3 linked regions of the Arabidopsis thaliana genome follow. The protein of the gene in region 1 binds, or shares a complex with, the protein of each later gene. Each region holds a gene or a part of one and is shown in the gene's direction. Other genes may lie near its edges.

The links. Proteins that work in one complex are often made in the same cells at the same time.
Region 2: AT1G61790 (region 1) and AT5G02502 share a complex: the UniProt entries of both Arabidopsis thaliana proteins name them as parts of the oligosaccharyltransferase (OST) complex.
Region 3: AT1G61790 (region 1) and AT3G12587 share a complex: the UniProt entries of both Arabidopsis thaliana proteins name them as parts of the oligosaccharyltransferase (OST) complex.

Annotation. Positions count from the first base shown.
Region 1 is NC_003070.9:22,811,212-22,819,064, forward strand, and holds AT1G61790 (Oligosaccharyltransferase complex/magnesium transporter family protein), read left to right. Parts: upstream 1-3,155; 5' UTR 3,156-3,178; coding exon 3,179-4,219; 3' UTR 4,220-4,252; exon of another isoform or gene 4,253-4,946; intron 4,947-5,340; 3' UTR 5,341-5,477; downstream 5,478-7,853. Other genes in the region: AT1G61770 (Chaperone DnaJ-domain superfamily protein), read left to right, coding at 1-55, 403-515, 607-724, 825-951, 1,056-1,159; AT1G61780 (postsynaptic protein-like protein), read right to left, coding at 1,611-1,675, 1,787-1,884, 2,398-2,515, 2,790-2,805. UniProt on the Arabidopsis thaliana protein: Subunit of the oligosaccharyl transferase (OST) complex that catalyzes the initial transfer of a defined glycan (Glc(3)Man(9)GlcNAc(2) in eukaryotes) from the lipid carrier dolichol-pyrophosphate to an asparagine residue within an Asn-X-Ser/Thr consensus motif in nascent polypeptide chains, the first step in protein N-glycosylation.
Region 2 is NC_003076.8:557,690-562,711, reverse strand, and holds AT5G02502 (Oligosaccaryltransferase), read left to right. Parts: upstream 1-3,476; 5' UTR 3,477-3,570; intron 3,571-4,000; coding exon 4,001-4,108; 3' UTR 4,109-4,427; downstream 4,428-5,022. Other genes in the region: AT5G02520 (dentin sialophosphoprotein-like protein), read right to left, coding at 1-602, 694-811, 926-1,070, 1,155-1,243, 1,334-1,387; AT5G02510 (UDP-glucose 6-dehydrogenase), read right to left, coding at 1,852-1,941, 2,045-2,221, 2,305-2,592, 3,064-3,270. UniProt on the Arabidopsis thaliana protein: Subunit of the oligosaccharyl transferase (OST) complex that catalyzes the initial transfer of a defined glycan (Glc(3)Man(9)GlcNAc(2) in eukaryotes) from the lipid carrier dolichol-pyrophosphate to an asparagine residue within an Asn-X-Ser/Thr consensus motif in nascent polypeptide chains, the first step in protein N-glycosylation.
Region 3 is NC_003074.8:3,993,745-3,999,143, reverse strand, and holds AT3G12587 (Oligosaccaryltransferase), read left to right. Parts: upstream 1-3,472; 5' UTR 3,473-3,706; intron 3,707-3,974; exon of another isoform or gene 3,975-4,047; intron 4,048-4,444; coding exon 4,445-4,558; 3' UTR 4,559-4,804; downstream 4,805-5,399. Other genes in the region: AT3G12590 (uncharacterized protein), read left to right, coding at 138-335, 451-726, 846-1,463, 1,661-2,121, 2,219-2,279, 2,390-2,458, 2,597-2,671. UniProt on the Arabidopsis thaliana protein: Subunit of the oligosaccharyl transferase (OST) complex that catalyzes the initial transfer of a defined glycan (Glc(3)Man(9)GlcNAc(2) in eukaryotes) from the lipid carrier dolichol-pyrophosphate to an asparagine residue within an Asn-X-Ser/Thr consensus motif in nascent polypeptide chains, the first step in protein N-glycosylation.

The DNA of each region.
Region 1 (7,853 bases):
ATTGGTGGTTTTATCTGCATTTCAATATCTGAACAACGTGGCAAGGTATAATGAGGTACGTATTAGAGATCGGGATTCTCTCACTATGTGTTAATAGTCTCAAGTAGTTGTTCTGTATCGTTTTTCTGATGCATGCCAGACCTATATTGTTATATATTTAAGCATCAGTACTACTCATCTATATATCACATGTATGTGCAATACCTAATCACATGTATGTGCAATACCTAATCACATGTATCATAGCATCTCAAGAAACGTAGAATTTGACCTCTTGAATGTGATTCATATACTTTGTTATGAGAACTTTATGTAGCTTAAACTCTTAAAGCCTATAATTAGAAATTATACAAACCTCGGCTCATTTTCTTAATGAGATCTTGCATTATTGTTGTGATGCAGGCTATAGCGACGGTTAAGCGAACACCTGCTTACAAAAATAAGCTCAAGGCATTAGAACTCGAACGCACAGGTGGAGTAAGTAACAAGAAGAAGGGTTCAAAGCAGATTGACCAGTATGTACCCCCAGTTATTTAAATTGCCTTTTTATTAGCTGAGAATGTGTCGTATCGCTGAATAAATCATAATCATTTATTGTTTTGGCAGGAAACTACAGGAAGAGCTAAGCAACGAACTTGACTTACAAATCAAAGGAGCTGAAAAACCATCGGTCTGGGAACTTCTCGGTGTTCGATTCATTCTCCTACCATACACTATCATTAAGGTTTCATTTTCTTAAAATACTTTCACTGTGCCACATTTCACAGATTCCTCCATATCCTACTTTCCCGAGATAGCTGATTCAACATTCTGTTATCTTCCAGCTTCTAGTATGGTACAGCAGTTGGGTGTGGAGATATAAGGTCAAGAAAGCTCCTTATTCATGGGAAGACGCATCATACCTAACCCGAAGATCACTTAGTGTGCCTGCCGACGCATGGGCTAATCTAGGTATCCTTCTATTCTCTAATTTCCAACCTGAACCGACATATTGATAAAGATTGATGTCTAATACAATGTGATTAAATCTATTGTGCAAATTCGATATTTTTCAGATGAATATAGGAAGGAAGATCTGGTGCAGAAAAGGCTGTGGGAGAAGCAGAATCTTGAGAATTACTTTGCAGAAATGCGTAAAGAATCGAAGCGGAGAAGATAGGTCACTTGTCGCTTACCATGCAACGATACAAAATACAATTCGAGTTTCAGAGACACCATTTTTACCATTATCACTCTACTTTAATGTTATAAGAACGAACCAGTTACAAGAAGAGACACTAGTATAATTGTACGGTACCAGGAACCAAATCTCAATTTGTCATATACAAGATGAAATCATGTCTGTCAATGGACATGGTCCAGTTTTGACTCAGTTTTGTTTAAAACCAATTTGCTCCGTGGAATGTTCAAATCTATCTTTGATACTTGAATTCGAGTTCTAAAACGAAACATTAACTTTATGATCAGTCAAGAAACACAGTGAAGCAACAAGATTCTGTTTGGTTATATTAAAACCGGAGGAAACCGATACAAAAAAATACATGAGTGAGAGGATACAACGTTGACATCAAAGGGACAAAAACTAAAATGTGAAACGCTTGCGGATTTGTTTATACATTGCTTTGCTTGTACATCTTGGTGTCCAACACTTGCTTCCCGCACATTGCGCACACTCCTGCACAACCACGAAGAGGCAATTCCATCAGTTGTTAAGTTACTCTATAATATCACTATCCAACCAGAGGTAAGAATTTAGTAGAGTAAAACAGATGTATTAACTATTTACCTTTGCTATAGGCACATGTGTGACAGTATTTACCATCTTGATGCACTTGCTGCTTGCAGATCATACATTTTGTGGTACAGGTACTGTAAGGTGACCATCTACAAGGCAAAGAAATATCACAATAGAAAATTAGAAGCAGAACAAGAGTAAACAAAACTAATAACTCAACTCAAAAAAGACAACACAAACATTCACAGTTACAAATATCGCTAGTTCCATGAGAAGTTGTACATTTACTAATGATTCTTATTAAAACCTAGAGGACTAGCGAAGCGGTGGAGTTCTACACCCTAGATGGCAAGAGTCCAGTAGCCTAATCAACTCAACAGATAATACAAACATCCCAAACTTAAAAAATTTATCGCTATTTCCATGAGAAATTCTATAATTACTAATGATTTTTAGAAGAACCTGGAGGGATCAACTCAAAAAAGACACTACACGAAACTACAATACCAATATTTCTTAGAAGAAACTACAGGAAACAAAACCAATACCAAACTAGACGATACAAACATCCCCAAAGCTACAAATTAATCACTATTTCCATATTGCAATTCAAATAATGAAAAGTAGTAAAATGAAGATGGATAAACATAAGAAATGCATACCTATTCTTCTTGGAGAGAAGCTTATTCTCATTGATTTTACGACCACCACCTTCAGTTACATTACGAGCACCATCCTTCCACTTATCAGGAACTATCACTTTCGATAACTTCTTCTCACCTAAAATTAAAAGATAAAAACAAATTGAGTCAAAAGGTTCATACTTTGAACTAAATTAGAGATCCTACAACTAGGGTTTCGATCTAAGAAACCAAAATCGAATCAGAGATCATTAAATTTCTTCCTGAAACATGTAATCGATTAAGCTAGAAACGAAACGAATCACAAATCCTAACGCCAATAGTATAGATTCAATTAGAATTAAAACCGATCCAAGTATAGATTGATTCAATTAGAATATGGAATTCAAAGAGAAGATTATTGATGGACTTACACTTATCGCAAACCATCTTCTTCTTCCGAGAGAGAAATATGAAGAAACCCTAACGCCTAAATCAATTCGAATGGGTTAGAGTTACGACGAAAACTTATCGGTGTTGAAATTTTTATCTATGTTTAAATATATTTTTTTTCCTTTTCTGGATTTGGAAAGTCGGATATGTCTCGTCAAAACTCATAGCCTCACAGGTATTTTATGCCACGAATCGTAATAATCCACGTGGTACATCAACCAATAAAAACGTTCCACGTGGTACAACCAGCGAGATACCAAGAACTTCGAGACCTTCTTCTCCAGATAGAGGCTTTCCGGTAAACGGCAAATACCCTTTTCCTTCACTTTCTTCGTCTTCTCGAATCTGAGAGAACGAGAGATCAACAACAATGGCGCTCAAATCAAAACTCGTCTCTCTTCTCTTCCTCATAGCAACACTATCATCCACATTCGCAGCTTCGTTTTCCGATTCGGATTCCGATTCAGATCTTCTCAACGAACTTGTATCTCTCAGATCAACAAGCGAATCAGGCGTAATCCATCTCGATGACCATGGAATCTCAAAATTCCTAACCTCCGCTTCCACGCCTCGTCCTTACTCGTTACTCGTCTTCTTCGACGCTACTCAACTCCACAGCAAAAACGAGCTTCGTCTTCAAGAGCTCCGTCGCGAATTCGGCATCGTCTCCGCTTCATTCCTCGCTAACAACAATGGATCTGAAGGAACTAAGCTTTTCTTCTGTGAGATCGAGTTTTCGAAGTCTCAATCTTCGTTCCAGCTCTTTGGCGTTAACGCTTTACCTCACATTCGTCTTGTAAGTCCTTCGATATCGAATCTACGTGATGAATCTGGTCAAATGGATCAATCGGATTACTCTAGATTAGCTGAATCAATGGCTGAGTTTGTTGAGCAACGAACTAAACTCAAGGTCGGTCCTATTCAACGTCCACCGCTACTTTCGAAACCACAGATCGGTATTATCGTTGCGTTGATCGTTATCGCTACTCCGTTTATCATCAAAAGAGTTTTGAAAGGAGAAACTATTCTTCATGATACTAGACTTTGGTTATCTGGTGCTATCTTCATTTACTTCTTTAGTGTTGCTGGTACAATGCACAACATTATCAGGAAAATGCCGATGTTTCTTCAAGATCGTAACGATCCGAATAAGCTTGTGTTTTTCTACCAAGGATCTGGAATGCAGCTTGGAGCTGAAGGATTTGCTGTTGGATTCTTGTATACTGTTGTTGGATTGCTTTTGGCGTTTGTTACCAATGTGCTTGTTCGAGTGAAGAATATTACTGCACAAAGGTTGATTATGCTTTTGGCTTTGTTCATATCGTTCTGGGCTGTGAAGAAAGTTGTTTACTTGGATAACTGGAAGACTGGATATGGAATTCATCCGTATTGGCCATCGAGTTGGCGTTGATTACATCACACTTGAGGATCTCTGTTTCACAAGGTAATGGCTTTAGTTTTGGAAAAACAGTTATGGGAATTGAGTAATGATGTTTCTGGATGTTTTGTGTTTCGATTTGAAATACTTTTGAATCGGTGTAGTACTACTATTTCAGATGGTTTAAAACTCCTTACTGTTACATTAGTCCATTGTTAAGTTATTTATCTGAATGAGTAACTTATATAACCAAGAATATGGGATCTTTAGTCGATTGAATATAGGAACCATATTTGGAAATTCAGGTACTGTTTCTTGAGATCAGTCTAGGATTGTTGTTATTTGGTACATTGACACTTTTAGAGTTTCTATGTGTCTTCAGCCTTGCGCCCCTTGCTTACTGCATCTATTCAGAAAAAGGGACTTTGTGATTGAGGATAGTGTTTCTGTTTAAGCATTATGGGACCTTATGTTTTGTCGTTGACTGTGTCCTCTTCTCGTTTTGCTCTCTGTTTTAGAATGAGTCTAAGTAAAATTTAGGTTCAAGTATAAATTTGTGATAGAGATGGAGTTTCGGATTAGGTTTAGCCATTCGACATGACATAGGCTTGCGCAGGTGGGAACCAAGTCTCTTCTTGATAGGCTTTTCATTTGTGTACACACATTTTGTGAGATCATTTCAACTTGAAAATTGCAAAGCATGCCTCTCTGATACATCAGTATGACTTTGATTGTTTGTTTGCGTTTATTGTGCAATTAATTTTTTTTTCATCAAATGAATTTACAATCTTCAGCAGTTAAAACAGATTATACTTGTTTATGGTAAAAAAAAAAAAATGTCACACTCACACGCAAAATTGAAAAAGTTTCAGATTTCACTCGAGAAAGTGAAGTAACCTATGATTTGTCTTTTGTCGAATCAAATGGTTGATGGAAATTTTCTTTCGTCTTTGAATTTAGTTGGACAATCTCGACTTAGTTAGCTCATTCGATCCATTTCTAGCCCACACAGAAAAAATGAGCTTAATCCATATGAGTGTTTCACTTTTTCTAATAAGTTTTTGGGGGCTTCTCGACTTGGGCCTTGAGTTTTATTTGTACGTTGTGTATGGGTCTAAGTCTTGCTAATCCACGTTTCTTACATATTTCTTTAGGTCTCTCATTTGACAATTTCGGGTCAGATTGATCTTCGTTTGAGTTGGACTGGCGCATGTTCGGGTTTCGACATATTGCTATGTTTAATGGATTTACGACTCTAATTTTAATTAACCACTAGTAAATTTGGTATGTATGCTTCTTATTATTAGAGCAGCCCAATCATTATCATAAAAATAGTCCATTAGCCCATGTGTTTAAGGTTTCTTTCAAGATAGATTCAGAGATAAATTTGTGTAATGAGAAGAAGAGAAGTAACTTTAGAATTGCTGATGGTACAACTCTCTTCTCCATCTTTATATGAAATTAATCTAATAAGATTTCATTAGTGCTCTTGGCGAACATTTAAATATACTCTGGACTAACAAAACAAAATCACTAGTCTACCATAATTTAGGTTTGCAAATTTTTAAAGAATACTCATTTAGTAAAATTTAGGTAAATAAATATTTAAAAACTAAATTCATTTTCGACGAGGATATTGAACTAACCCAAAGGCACGAGGTGTCTTGAAAGTGACTAAGCACAAATTTTCAACCTATATAAAAAAAAAACACAGCCTGTCTCACACAGTCACATTGTATGTTATTACAATTTAAGACAATGACGATTGCATATACATAAAAATTATTTATACACACATATATCTTGAAAACGTGAAGGCCACAACTCAAATATCTCAATATGTATAGCTTTCAAAATCTAAATAGAAAAGAGCAAGGCTAATCATTTGATTTGACAGCAATATAAGTTTTTGTTGCGTCTTGTATGGATTATGAATATATTATTAGTCACTAATTAGCTATGGTTAATATAACAATAAATGACAACTTTATTGATTATTATTGATAAACAAAGCAAAGTCTTTTGTTAACTAGCATAAAAGAAAAGATGTTTAGAGGCATGTATTTGAAAACTGTGAATAATAAAAATTCATATGATTTGGAATTTATGTTTTCTAATGATCGGATAGCTTTATCCGTGAACTTCCCATTTTCTTGTCTGTTTTAGATTTGTGGATCTTATTTTCTTCAAATGGTAGCAAATCATTTGAAAAAGCCCCACAATATTTTGTTGCATTAAAAGAAAAAATTGTCTTCAGTTATACGATATTAGTTATATCCTGATCTTTGTATGATCATCTATTACGCAGTTACTATAGATTTAGTGCAGACTTTCAAAACTATAATTGTGCTTTGAAAATATGAGTATGTAAAATCAGTTATTTTAGTTTTTTCACGTCACCTTTTCAGATTACTATAGTTTTTCAAGTTGTTGGACCAAATCTTATGATTGCGTTGCATATATACTTCCATATTGGTTAGTTAGTGAACGAAAAAAATAATTAAACACAAGAAAACTATACCATAGTTGAACCAATTTTTAAAAATAAAAAGACCTTTGGACTAGTATGTAGTTAACCACTATGGTGGTTAATTTCCTTGAACGTCTAAGATTCGATCCTATCTTTGCTTCACGGGACTATACCATATTAAGGTATAAACCCTATTTTTAAACTTTGTCAACTAGCTATGTGAACCCTCTTGGTGAGCCCAAAATTAGACCACTTTTTAAGAAAAAATTTCAGAGAAATATATGCTTTTGAGTCAAAATATTAGATCCATCTTCATTGTCTATACGATATATTTCTAATTAGCAAAAAAACTTTGTTTATAAAAGAAAACCTAAATGGTAGTCATTTTATTAATATCTTTCCATACATAACCGATAAAAAGAAAAGATTCATTCTAATAAACAAATTAAAAAATTCACACTTTTTAAAATTGACATATTATTAAGAAAAGATAGGTGTCTTGAGGACATATCAAGCGTTTAAATGCTTAATCAAAATCTAAAACGCTTTTAAGACGTTTCAATTTTTATAAGAAATATTATAAAATAATATTAATGAAATATCATGATTTATATATATATATATATTAATTAATTACATATTTAAAGTTGTAAGAAAAACCAATGATTGTATTTTATATTGAAAGAAATTTTGTTTAGCTAAAAGGATAAAAGTTTGCTTCTTTTTTTAGTCTAATAATTTCTTACTTTTTCAACTCCAAATTCTAGTTGTTATACTGTCCAAATCCAGTATTATAATTGACATCAAAACTTTATAGAATTAGGCATACGCAACATTTAGTTGTATATATAAAAGTATGTATTAGAGTAGACGAAGAAAATCCCTAGAATGCTTATTACATGCGATTTCGACAACATATACTGCTAAAATGCCACCAAAATTTTTGTCTATTCTTTAGATATAATTGTTACAATATGATTCATTTAACATTTTGTTGAATTGTGGAGCGAAAATATCTTGGATTCGTTAATCGATCCAATGAGCGTGCTAGATGCGGTTTAACCGAAGCGGTTATGTCGACGATGGACCGGAAAACCTCCTCCCATTTGAGAGTTGCGGTCATGACCAAATTTGTTATAGTGTTCTTGAATAGTATATTTTCAGAAAATTTCAAGCTTATTAATTATTTGTCGTTGT
Region 2 (5,022 bases), on another chromosome or scaffold:
GGCTAAGTCTTTAAGCAGGGAATGTGGAGATGCTGTTGTTACAAGTAAACCATTTTGCTGTTCCGAAGTAAGTGATTCTCCAGTAGCACTTGCACTTGTCACTTTATCAACATTATCTGCACCGGTATGCTTAATACCACTTCCAACCGCTGGAGATATCACATCATTATCGATAGCTTCGCTCTTATCTTTTTCTACATCACTGCTCTTAGCCTTAATGAAACCTTCACTACCATTATCTCCATCATTACAAAGATTCTGGACTTCACTTTCATCGAGTTTCCATTCACTGTCTTCATTATTGATAACCTCACATCCATCTCTTTCTACATCACCGCGCTTAGCCGTATTCAAAAATTCACTACCATGATCTCCATCATTAGCAGTCTTCCGGACTTTACTCGATTCAAGTATCCTTTTTATTTGCAGATGAAGAGACCTTCTCCTTGCAGTTTTTATATCTCTTGCTCCAGAACCACCTTTATCATTAATCTCTGCAATATCAGTCTCAGTCACATTGCTTTTCTCTCTGCTCTCAGCTGGATTATCCTTAAGATTCCTGTTAGAGTACTTACAAGGTGATAAAATGGGAGGACAAGCTGCTAAGAAATCATAAAACAAGGACATATCAATAAAACATAGATGCATCAGAAAAAAACACACACACACAAACACATTGCTTCAAGACCTAACCTTTCTCGATAGTCGAAGGGACGGTATTAACATCAGTGCCAAAAGAGTCTCCTTCAAAGCAACTGTTACAAACTCGTTCCCAACAAGGAGGAAACCCGAAGATGAATTCACGAGAAATCTATTCCCAAGACCAGACCACAGAACAAAAGAGAAAGAACAAATCAAAGTCAGTTCTTCTTCCTTAGTTCTTAGATAGATCAAGTTCCAACAAGTTAAGCAATCTTTAGATTACCTCAGGGTTAAATCCATTTTTAAGAACGCGTTCTTTGTTAAGAAAACCTCTGAGAGTGATATAGATTCCATCAGATGCTAAGAGTGTGAAAACATCCAAAGCTTTGGTGATTGGTGAAGATGTAAACACACGCATTGCTCTTGTCCTATTAAGGCAAAATTCGAAGAATTCAAAAACTAAATCGTTTCATAAAAAAAAAAGAAACCTGAAAAGTCCAAAGCACTCTTACTCGACGGACTCTTCGAATCCAGCAACACCAAATTGTTTCCCTTCGAATTCCTTTGGGCATTTTATCAACCACCAATCTCTCAGCACCACCTTTATTCGAAAAACCCAGATGAACAAAAAGGCGGATTTAGAACACTGATTGAATCAAATACGAGGAGATGAAGTAAGAAGCTCACTCACCGTTTTCTGGAAAGACGACTTGGAACCATCTTCGTCGAGATTTGGTTCCGTCATCGAGCTGGATACTATCTTAATTGAGAAATAATCGGAACCCTAGGAGATTCTCGAGAGGAGAGATTCGTGAGATTTAGTGAGCAAAATTGGGGAAAAGTTTAGGGTTTAAACTGTTTGGAACAATGGGAATGAAAATTGCTTTGGCGGGGAAAACTTGATCCGGTTTAGATAACCAGTTTGGTTTAAAGCTTGTGTATTTTGGTTCTCGTTTCCTGGTTTTCTACATTCTCCGGTTTAAATAACAGGTTTGGTTTAATCCTTGTGCGGTTTCTTCGGTTATAAATTTGTAAACAGAAATTATTTTTGTTTTATTAATGAGAATTGCCCTAAAACAATTTGCAAACAAACCATACAAGTAAAGTCTTTAGTATTAAAATTTGCATGACTTGAAATTCAGTTGACTAATAATACTTCTTAAGGTCCTAATGACTATAAATGACTATGTAGTAAACAATCATATAGTTTTAGTAGATGTCTGGAGGCAAATTCCCTGAGAAAGAAGTCTGTTGTTGTTGTGACCTTTGAAGATGGAGTTTCATGGCGTAGTTGCTAAGCTGATGAATGATATCCACAAACGAAAACGAAGGGAAAATCAGTAATCCGCTGATTTATAAGATTGATAATTCCGAGAATTTCTAGTAGGCAAGTTAGTTATACCTCTAGCTTATGAACTTGTTCTTGGTACTGCCCCACCACGCCTCTCAAATGCAGTACTTGTTTGGCCTTCTCTTCGTTTTCAGAGCTACGCTGATGTTGATTCGCAATGACCCGCTTCAATATTTGGTTATCATTGATCAAACTCTGTAGACTCTCCTTCATCGACGCATATTCAAGCTGCAATGAATTGGGAGCTCTCTATTTGTTATATTATCTAGGCCCAAGAAAACCTGAGCATTATCAATGTCATCAATTTATACCTTCTTCGAGGCGTTGGTGTTCTTCTTTATGATACTCTCTAAAGCTTCTAAGATCACTGCAACACGTCGCCTCATGTCATCAATGTTTATCGCTTTTGTCATCTCGGATACAAGTCTATCAACCCATTTAGCTCCATCGATCATATCCTCATCGTTCCAACTTTCCACAGATCCATCAAAAAAGCCAGCTTCTGTTCTATCAGAATCCCCATTGAACAAAATTGAGCTTAAACTCTCTTTTGCCTCTTCAAACACGTAATTCTTGTTGCTCATAACCTCTCTGACAAACTAATTCAAGATCCCACCAAAAAACAAAGACTACATTAGCAATAAACTCCCAAAGACTTTTGTAGCAAAACATAACAGCCAAGATCACCAATTTTCATAACACAAGTCACAAAGTAACAAAGACTAATGTTGCATCAAGTTTCTATGCAATCAATGGCTACACAAAACTGTCGCCAATTTTCAGTTTTTCACAACACAGAAGTAACAAAGGCTAATGTTGCATCAAAGTTTCTCTGCAATGCAGGGCTTTGGCTTTGGTTATCACAATGTTAATCTGTAGATGAAGACATATCAATCAATAGCTACACAAAACTGTTACCTAGTTCATTTCATGAAGGAACTACATCAATATAACTTAGCACTTTTTAAATGGAAGATTGATGAACTTAAAGTATATGAAAAGAGCAATTACTGTAGTAGCATTGTTCATCAGTCAAAAATGGAAACTTTACGACACAATATCTAACGAACCTCAGGATCCATGGTAGGGAACACATGGATCAAAGATGCAACCGGGTCATCGGATCCAGACCCGGTTTCAGATGAACGAATCGGCGATCCAAAGCTTGACCATTTGGTTCTCTTATTCGTCGGGGATGATGAAGAAGAAAGGAAGCGACAACGTCGAGCAATTGCAGTGAAGAAGAAAGGAAGAGACAACGACGAGCAATTAAACATATTGTAATATAATTATTAATATTATAGACTGTACAACAAAGTGGCTGTAGTTTAGTGGTAAGAATTCCACGTTGTGGCCGTGGAGACCTGGGCTCGAATCCCAGCAGCCACACTTTCTTTTTTCCTTTTTTGAGAAGTAAAACGACGTCGTTTACCATATTACCAAACGATTTGTTTTTGAGTCAACCACCTCTTTAACCAGAGTCATTCTTCAGTTCTTCTTCTTTTTCGATCTGCTTCGTAGAGTCGATAGAGGGAAGAATCAAAGAAGGAAGTCTGTATCTTTTGAGCTCTCCAAAGGTAAAAACACTCAGAGATTTGATTTGTTTTTTTCGGTCTTTACCTTGGATACGTCATTCTCAGATGGTAGCGAATTTGTAGATCTTAAGGCTTGAATCTATTTCATATGATCAATTACTTATAGATGTGATGATGATGCAACTCTTTCTTTATTTACTGCTATGAGATTCAATCAATTTTTTATTTTTATTTTTGTGTATTCCATGTTTTTGATGTTATACTCATGTCTGGATTTCGTCAAAGTTATTTTCTTTTAGTGATTTTGGTAAAGAAACTTGTTCCTGACGTATGAACCTAATTGTGTTGGACTATGTGCTCCATCTTCATAGAAAATGATGTTGAAAGTGTAGATTGGTGGGTGATTTTTAACAAGTTTTGTCTAAGTCTGATACCAAGCTTCTCATATTGTTAATTGTGTGTGGTGTTACAGATGTTTGACGACCAAGACCTCGGCTTCTTTGCCAATTTTCTGGGGATTTTCATCTTCATAATGGTCATTGCATACCATTTCGTGGTGGCAGAGCCTAAATTCGAATGAGAATGAGGTTTCATCTTTGTTAGTTTCTACAAAAAAAAAACTTATAAATGTGTTGGAATCAATATGTCTTTAGCATTCTATAGGTCGTGATGTTTCGCCAGTAGATGAGTAATCAATGTATTTTGACAATGTGGTTTTGGATGGATTAAGAGTTAAAAGACTTCATTTTTCGTAGTGTTTCAATCATTCAAGTTTTAGTATGCAAGTTTTCTGTTTAGAGCATATTGCATACATGGGCGAATATGGTATACCTGGATTTCCCAGTTCTTCAGGTCTTCTCTGTAGCTCTGTTACTTCTATCACAGTTATCGGGTATTTGAGAAAAAAGAGTTAGCTAAAATGAATTTCTCCATATAATCATGGTTTACTACAGGTTTACTTGATTCGCGTTAGCTTTATCTGCATCCAAAGTTTTTTCCATGATGTTATGTCATATGTGATACCGTTACTATGTTTATAACTTTATACAGTCTGGTTCACTGGAGTTTCTGTGATTATGTTGAGTACATACTCATTCATCCTTTGGTAACTCTCAAGTTTAGGTTGTTTGAATTGCCTCTGTTGTGATACTTATTGTCTATTGCATCAATCTTCTAATGCACCACCCTAGACTATTTGAACAAAGAGCTGTTTCATTCTTAAACCTCTGTGTCTCCTTGCTAAATGGTCATGCTTTAATGTCTTCACCTGTCTTTCTCTTCTATAGATATGTAGTCTTGCTAGATAGTTAGTTCTACAGCTCTCTTTTGTAGTCTTGTTAGAGAGTTAGTTGAGATATTACCTCTTAAAAGTATCCTTGAACGCTTTCCGGTTATGACCAATTTGTTGTAGCTCCTTGTAAGTAGAACTTACTGGGACCAGCGAGACAGTTTATGTGAATGTTCATGCTTAAGTGTCGAACGTATCTATCTCTA
Region 3 (5,399 bases), on another chromosome or scaffold:
CCTCCTATTTTCATTTGGATCTGTCCTTTCTCTTTGTTTTTAGACCTTCGTAACTATGATTTCTGTTTCCAGCTGCATGTTACCATTTCTCAGCCAAGTTGTACTTGCTGATGAGCCAGTTACTTTCCTTGAATCAGGTTATAAAAGCTCTTCTGGGAACTAGCAAAAGGAATTCTTGGTCAGAAGTTGTTCATTCCAAGCTTATTTGTATCATGACGAATATGTTTTATCAATCTCCAGAACCAGAAGGCTCTAACAAAGCAATTTCAAGTGCCTCAAATTTTCTTATCGACCAGGTCGATCTGATTGGTGGTGTAGAATACATTTTCTTTGAGGTACTAAGAAAATATAGTTTATTAGACTGAATGATCTTTCTAAACATTATCCAAATAGACACTTCGATCCCCAATGGTTTTCTAGCATATTAAGGGATTCATTTTATTGGTACAGTACTCTTTGGCAACCACTAGAGAGGAAAGAAGAAATCTCTACTCGGTTTTATTTGACTATGTGCTGCATCAAATTAATGAGGCATGCTCATCTGCTGGTCTTTCTGAGTACACTGATGATGAGATTCAACCTTTGGCTGTTCGGCTTGCTCTTGCTGATGCACCTGAAGCTTTCTACATTTCTGTTAAGCTTGGTGTTGAAGGCATAGGAGAAATCCTGCGAAGATCAATTGCTGCAGCATTGTCTGGGTTCAGCAACAGCGAACGACTTAACCAGGTAGGTTTAAACTTGTAGAATATGTTGCAAATGATCTTCTGAGGATATCTGGAAAAAAAAACTTAAATTGCTTGTCAGTCAAAGCTCTTTTCCAACTCTTTAATTTTTCCTTCTTGCAGCTTTTGGCAAATATAACAGAAAAGTTTGACACAATAATAGGTTCGTTTACTCACCTGGACAAAGAGTTCCTGCATCTCAAACAGATTACCAAATCTTCCAAGTTCATGGAAAGCATTTTAGATTTAAGAAACGATATAAGCATGTCCGTGAATCTAGCTTGGGCTACTTTGCACTCTCTTCTTCATTCAGAAAGGACCACATACCGTCAAAATGGGTATATCTGGTTGGGGGATCTTCTGATTGCAGAAATTAGTGAAGAGAGCGGTGGAAGTATATGGCTGAGCATAAAAGATCTGCAACAAAAGATTGCCCATTGTGGTACCTCAGACTCTCTGGTTACTTCTGATGTACCTATTTCCATACATCTCCTATGTGGACTCTTGAAGTCAAGGAACAGTGTTATCAGATGGGGTTTCCTATTTATTCTGGAGAGGCTACTTATGCGCTCCAAGTTCTTACTAGACGAGAATGAGACCCAACGATCAACTGGTGGAGTTGCTACTCAGGACCATAAAGACAAACGACTAGAGAAAGCAAATGCTGTTATAGACATAATGAGCAGTGCTTTGTCTTTGATGGCACAAATAAATGAAACTGACCGGATTAACATCTTAAAGGTACATTCCTTAGAACCTTTCTGTTTGTCAAATATCCTACCAAAAGCCACTCTAAAGCTTGCTGATATATATAGTAACTGCTGTTCTATATGTCGAATAATTGGCGTAGAAGATAACTCTGTCTATACCTCTTATTGGAATTTTCACCCAGATGAAGTTAAATTTCACTTGTGTCTTTCTCTGTTGTTTCCAAGCAGATGTGTGACATTCTTTTCTCGCAATTGTGCTTGAAAGTTTTGTCTACTGACGAGGATGCAGTCCCCAATTCTGCGGATAGGAATAGCAAATTTGATACTTCTCATCGTAACAGCTATAAAGAAAGTGTGGATGAAGGTGACACCAAGCCTCGGTACAATAACGTCTCTGTTTCAACGTGTGAGACAGCGTCAATGGCAGCGATGCTTCTTCGTGGACAGGCCATTGTTCCTATGCAGCTGGTTGCGCGTGTGCCAGCAGCTTTGTTTTATTGGCCACTGATTCAACTAGCAGGTGCAGCAACTGACAACATTGCACTTGGTGTCGCCGTTGGAAGCAAAGGTAGAGGAAATATTCCAGGGGCAACCTCTGATATTCGAGCCACCCTGCTATTACTTCTGATTGGTAAATGCACCGCCGATACAGTTGCTTTTCAAGAAGTTGGCGGAGAGGAGTTCTTTAGGTAATTGATTGACTTTTCCATGCTTCCAAACCATAGATGATTTATGATTTATCTGTGCAACATGTTTCATGGCATTAACCTATGTTTATCTATGCAGGGAACTCCTGGATGATACTGATTCAAGGGTGGCTTATTACTCTTCAGCATTTCTTCTGAAGGCAAGAGGATTTTTCAAATTCACCATTTTGATTTTGGAAAGACATCATTGAAAGAATAATAAGTTTCCAAATATTTTTTGGCTCACCGGTTAAAATTTGGATTATTTCAGAGGATGATGACGGAGGAACCAGAGAAATACCAAAACATGCTTCAGAAGCTTGTCTTTAAGGCTCAGCAGGTATTGCTATCGTCATAATTCAGGGTGTAGATGCGTAGAACCGGAAATATCAAAGAGAACCTCAAAATCAAAGAGCTTTCTTTGTTTTGTTTCATGTATAATAATGATCCACATTGATTGTATTCTTGTTTTGTGCAGAGCAATAATGAGAAACTGCTAGAGAATCCATATCTGCAGATGTGTGGTATACTTCAGCTATCAAACGAGCTCTGAACTCGCGGCTCTCATAAGCCTCCAGTTTCTTATATATGGCTTATGTAAGTTCATCAGTTTCAGAGAATCTTAGAGAGTTACTTTAGCACCACCCTAATTATCCGCTTCCTGCCGTGAAAAGAGATGGAAGAGAATTTAGTGAAAGAAAATGACAATTCATAGAATACTGGACTCGTAGCTGAAAGTAGCAAGCAGGGGAGTCGGCAAGTCAAAATTCAGATATGGCTACGTGTGTGACATCACTTTGGCTATCTTGCACTCTTGTGATATTAAATCCTTCCTGAATTTTGGTTGAGATCTGAAGGTTCTGAAGAAAGGTGTTGATAGTAAAGAGTTGCCGAAGGGATCAACAGAAATGTGAAATAACTCGGTCCCGCCTTCTCCTTTTTCTGCGGGAATGGTGCGGCTTTAAGGAACTTACAGAAACAGTGGGTTGGTTTCTGATAATTGCCGGCATGTCATTTTTTGGGCTAACAAACTGAAGCTTTTTTTTCTCTTAGCTGTGTGTGTAAAACAAATCATGAACCTAGGCTGCAGCTCTAGAAATTTTATTTTTCTTGGAGCTCTGCTTTTGTACAGTCAGGAACAAAACCAATTAGGAGGATTGTGTTGTGTAGAGAACTAGAGATAGAGGCTTTGGGCCTTTTGGGTGTCGAATGTTTTGCTTTTAAAATGGTTATGTGATTAGTGTGACTGAACCTAACCGGTGCGTTTGTAATATAAATTCTTGTCATTATTTTGGCTGCCACTATCTGATCTGAGAAGCCACAAGGAGTTGAAGTTTACAGTTGTTAAAATCAATTTGACAAACAAAAAATCAAGAGAGAAACATACAATTACCAATTTGATCCACAGATAAATCAATTGTTAAAAAGTAATTAAATACTACTATTGGGCCAGGCCTGCAAAATAAAGACCCTCAGACATCGAAACCCTGAGAGTGAGATCCAATACTTGTTCTGTTCTGCAAATCGCTTCTGGTCCCTGGAGTCTGGAGATCTCATCCTTTCCCACCGATTCCGTCCCGATAAAACGGTAAATCTCGCTCAATTTTAAAACTATGTATATATATGCATTTCTTCTTGAGTGATCTTCTGATTCGACGACAAGTGTGTTTGATTTATGATCTGGTTAGTCTTAGACTCTTAGCTGTTCTTCTCGCGATAGAGATTGTCTCTGTGGCGGCCATCTGTGTGTGATGGTCCTTTGAATCCGTCTCTGTCGACGAGAACTGCCAAATTCTCTTGTCGGATTGTGTCACGTTTTAGGTTTTTACATAAATTCTCAACTTGTTCTCCAATGTGATCCCATAGCGGAGTGGATATCGCGTTAGACTCCGAATCTAAAGGTCGTGGGTTCGATTCCCACTGGGATCATCCCATTTTTTTGGTCTTTTTTTTTGTTGGTTATTAATTATTACTATCAATCCGTTCTTTTAGCAGTGATCAAGCGAATTTAGGTCTGGCTCTGCCTCTGGCTCTAGTTGAGTTTAGGGAGCTGCTCCTTGTTGTTTGCCATTATGGTTTCTCTACTTTGGAGTCAACTTTGCAATGTTACCCTTGTAGTCTCTTCTGTGGACTTTGTATTTGGTGAAATTGAAAAGTTTAGTAGAAATCTGGCTGCGCCAAAGATGATAGAGACTCTAATGGGATCCTTATTCGAACATTTTGCTGAACTGATTAGATACAATAAGGCAACACTGATTCCATTACTGTTAGTCTGTTACTACAAAAAGAATTGTTGCTCAAGTATTGTTTGTGTTGGTTGGTGCAGATGATCGATGATCAGGACTTGGGGTTTATTGCCAACTTTCTTGGCATCTTCATCTTCGCATTGGTAATTGCTTATCACTACGTAACTGCTGATCCCAAATACGAAGCCACTTGAGTGATGATATTTTAGAATGATGTAAGGCTTTTTAGTTTATACTAGTATTATCTGTGTTTCAAACTGAGAAGAGATAATAACAGTCTTTGTTGAGATGATAATGTTTTCAAGATGTTCCTAATCCATTTCACATCTTCTCAATTTTATATGCATGTGCATATATATGTTCCCTCCAATTATGTTGTTCGAATGTTTGATGAAACTTTGAATTTTTTTCTTTAAGCAAAAAAAAATCTCAAACACCAAAGCGAGGAGTCATTCTAGTTCAGTTTTGAGTCATTCTAGTTATTTTTACAAAGTTTTGAGTCAAATTGGGTAAATTTTTTGGTTATTTTGGTCATAAAAATAACTAGATTATCTCTTATATCTTATGAGTTAATTTGGTAAATAAACCATTTATTTGGGTCAAACTATTTTTTTCCCCATATATATATCCAATCAATAATAAATTCATAATATATTTCATTAACGCGATTGAAATACTAGTAATTAATTGAGGACTAAAGAAAAAGTAATTTCCTTTTTATCTTTAAAATGTGCAAAAAAAACAAAAATGTTAATTGGGTGATGAAATAACTTGTTTTCAAAACGGGAGTTACTATTTGACAATTTAAAAAAGACCCATCTCGAAGGAGCTAGAAGCGATAACAAAATAAAAAGGAAACAATAGTAATTAGATGGCGCAAAAATAAGATCCAACGGCTGAGATCTTTACTCGTGAACGTTCTCGAAAGCTCTTTGCCGACCCACTCTTCATTCATATATAAACAAACACCTCTCTGCCTTCTCTTCCTCACACAATCATAAACACAACAACACTCACAAATTCTCTTAAAGCTCA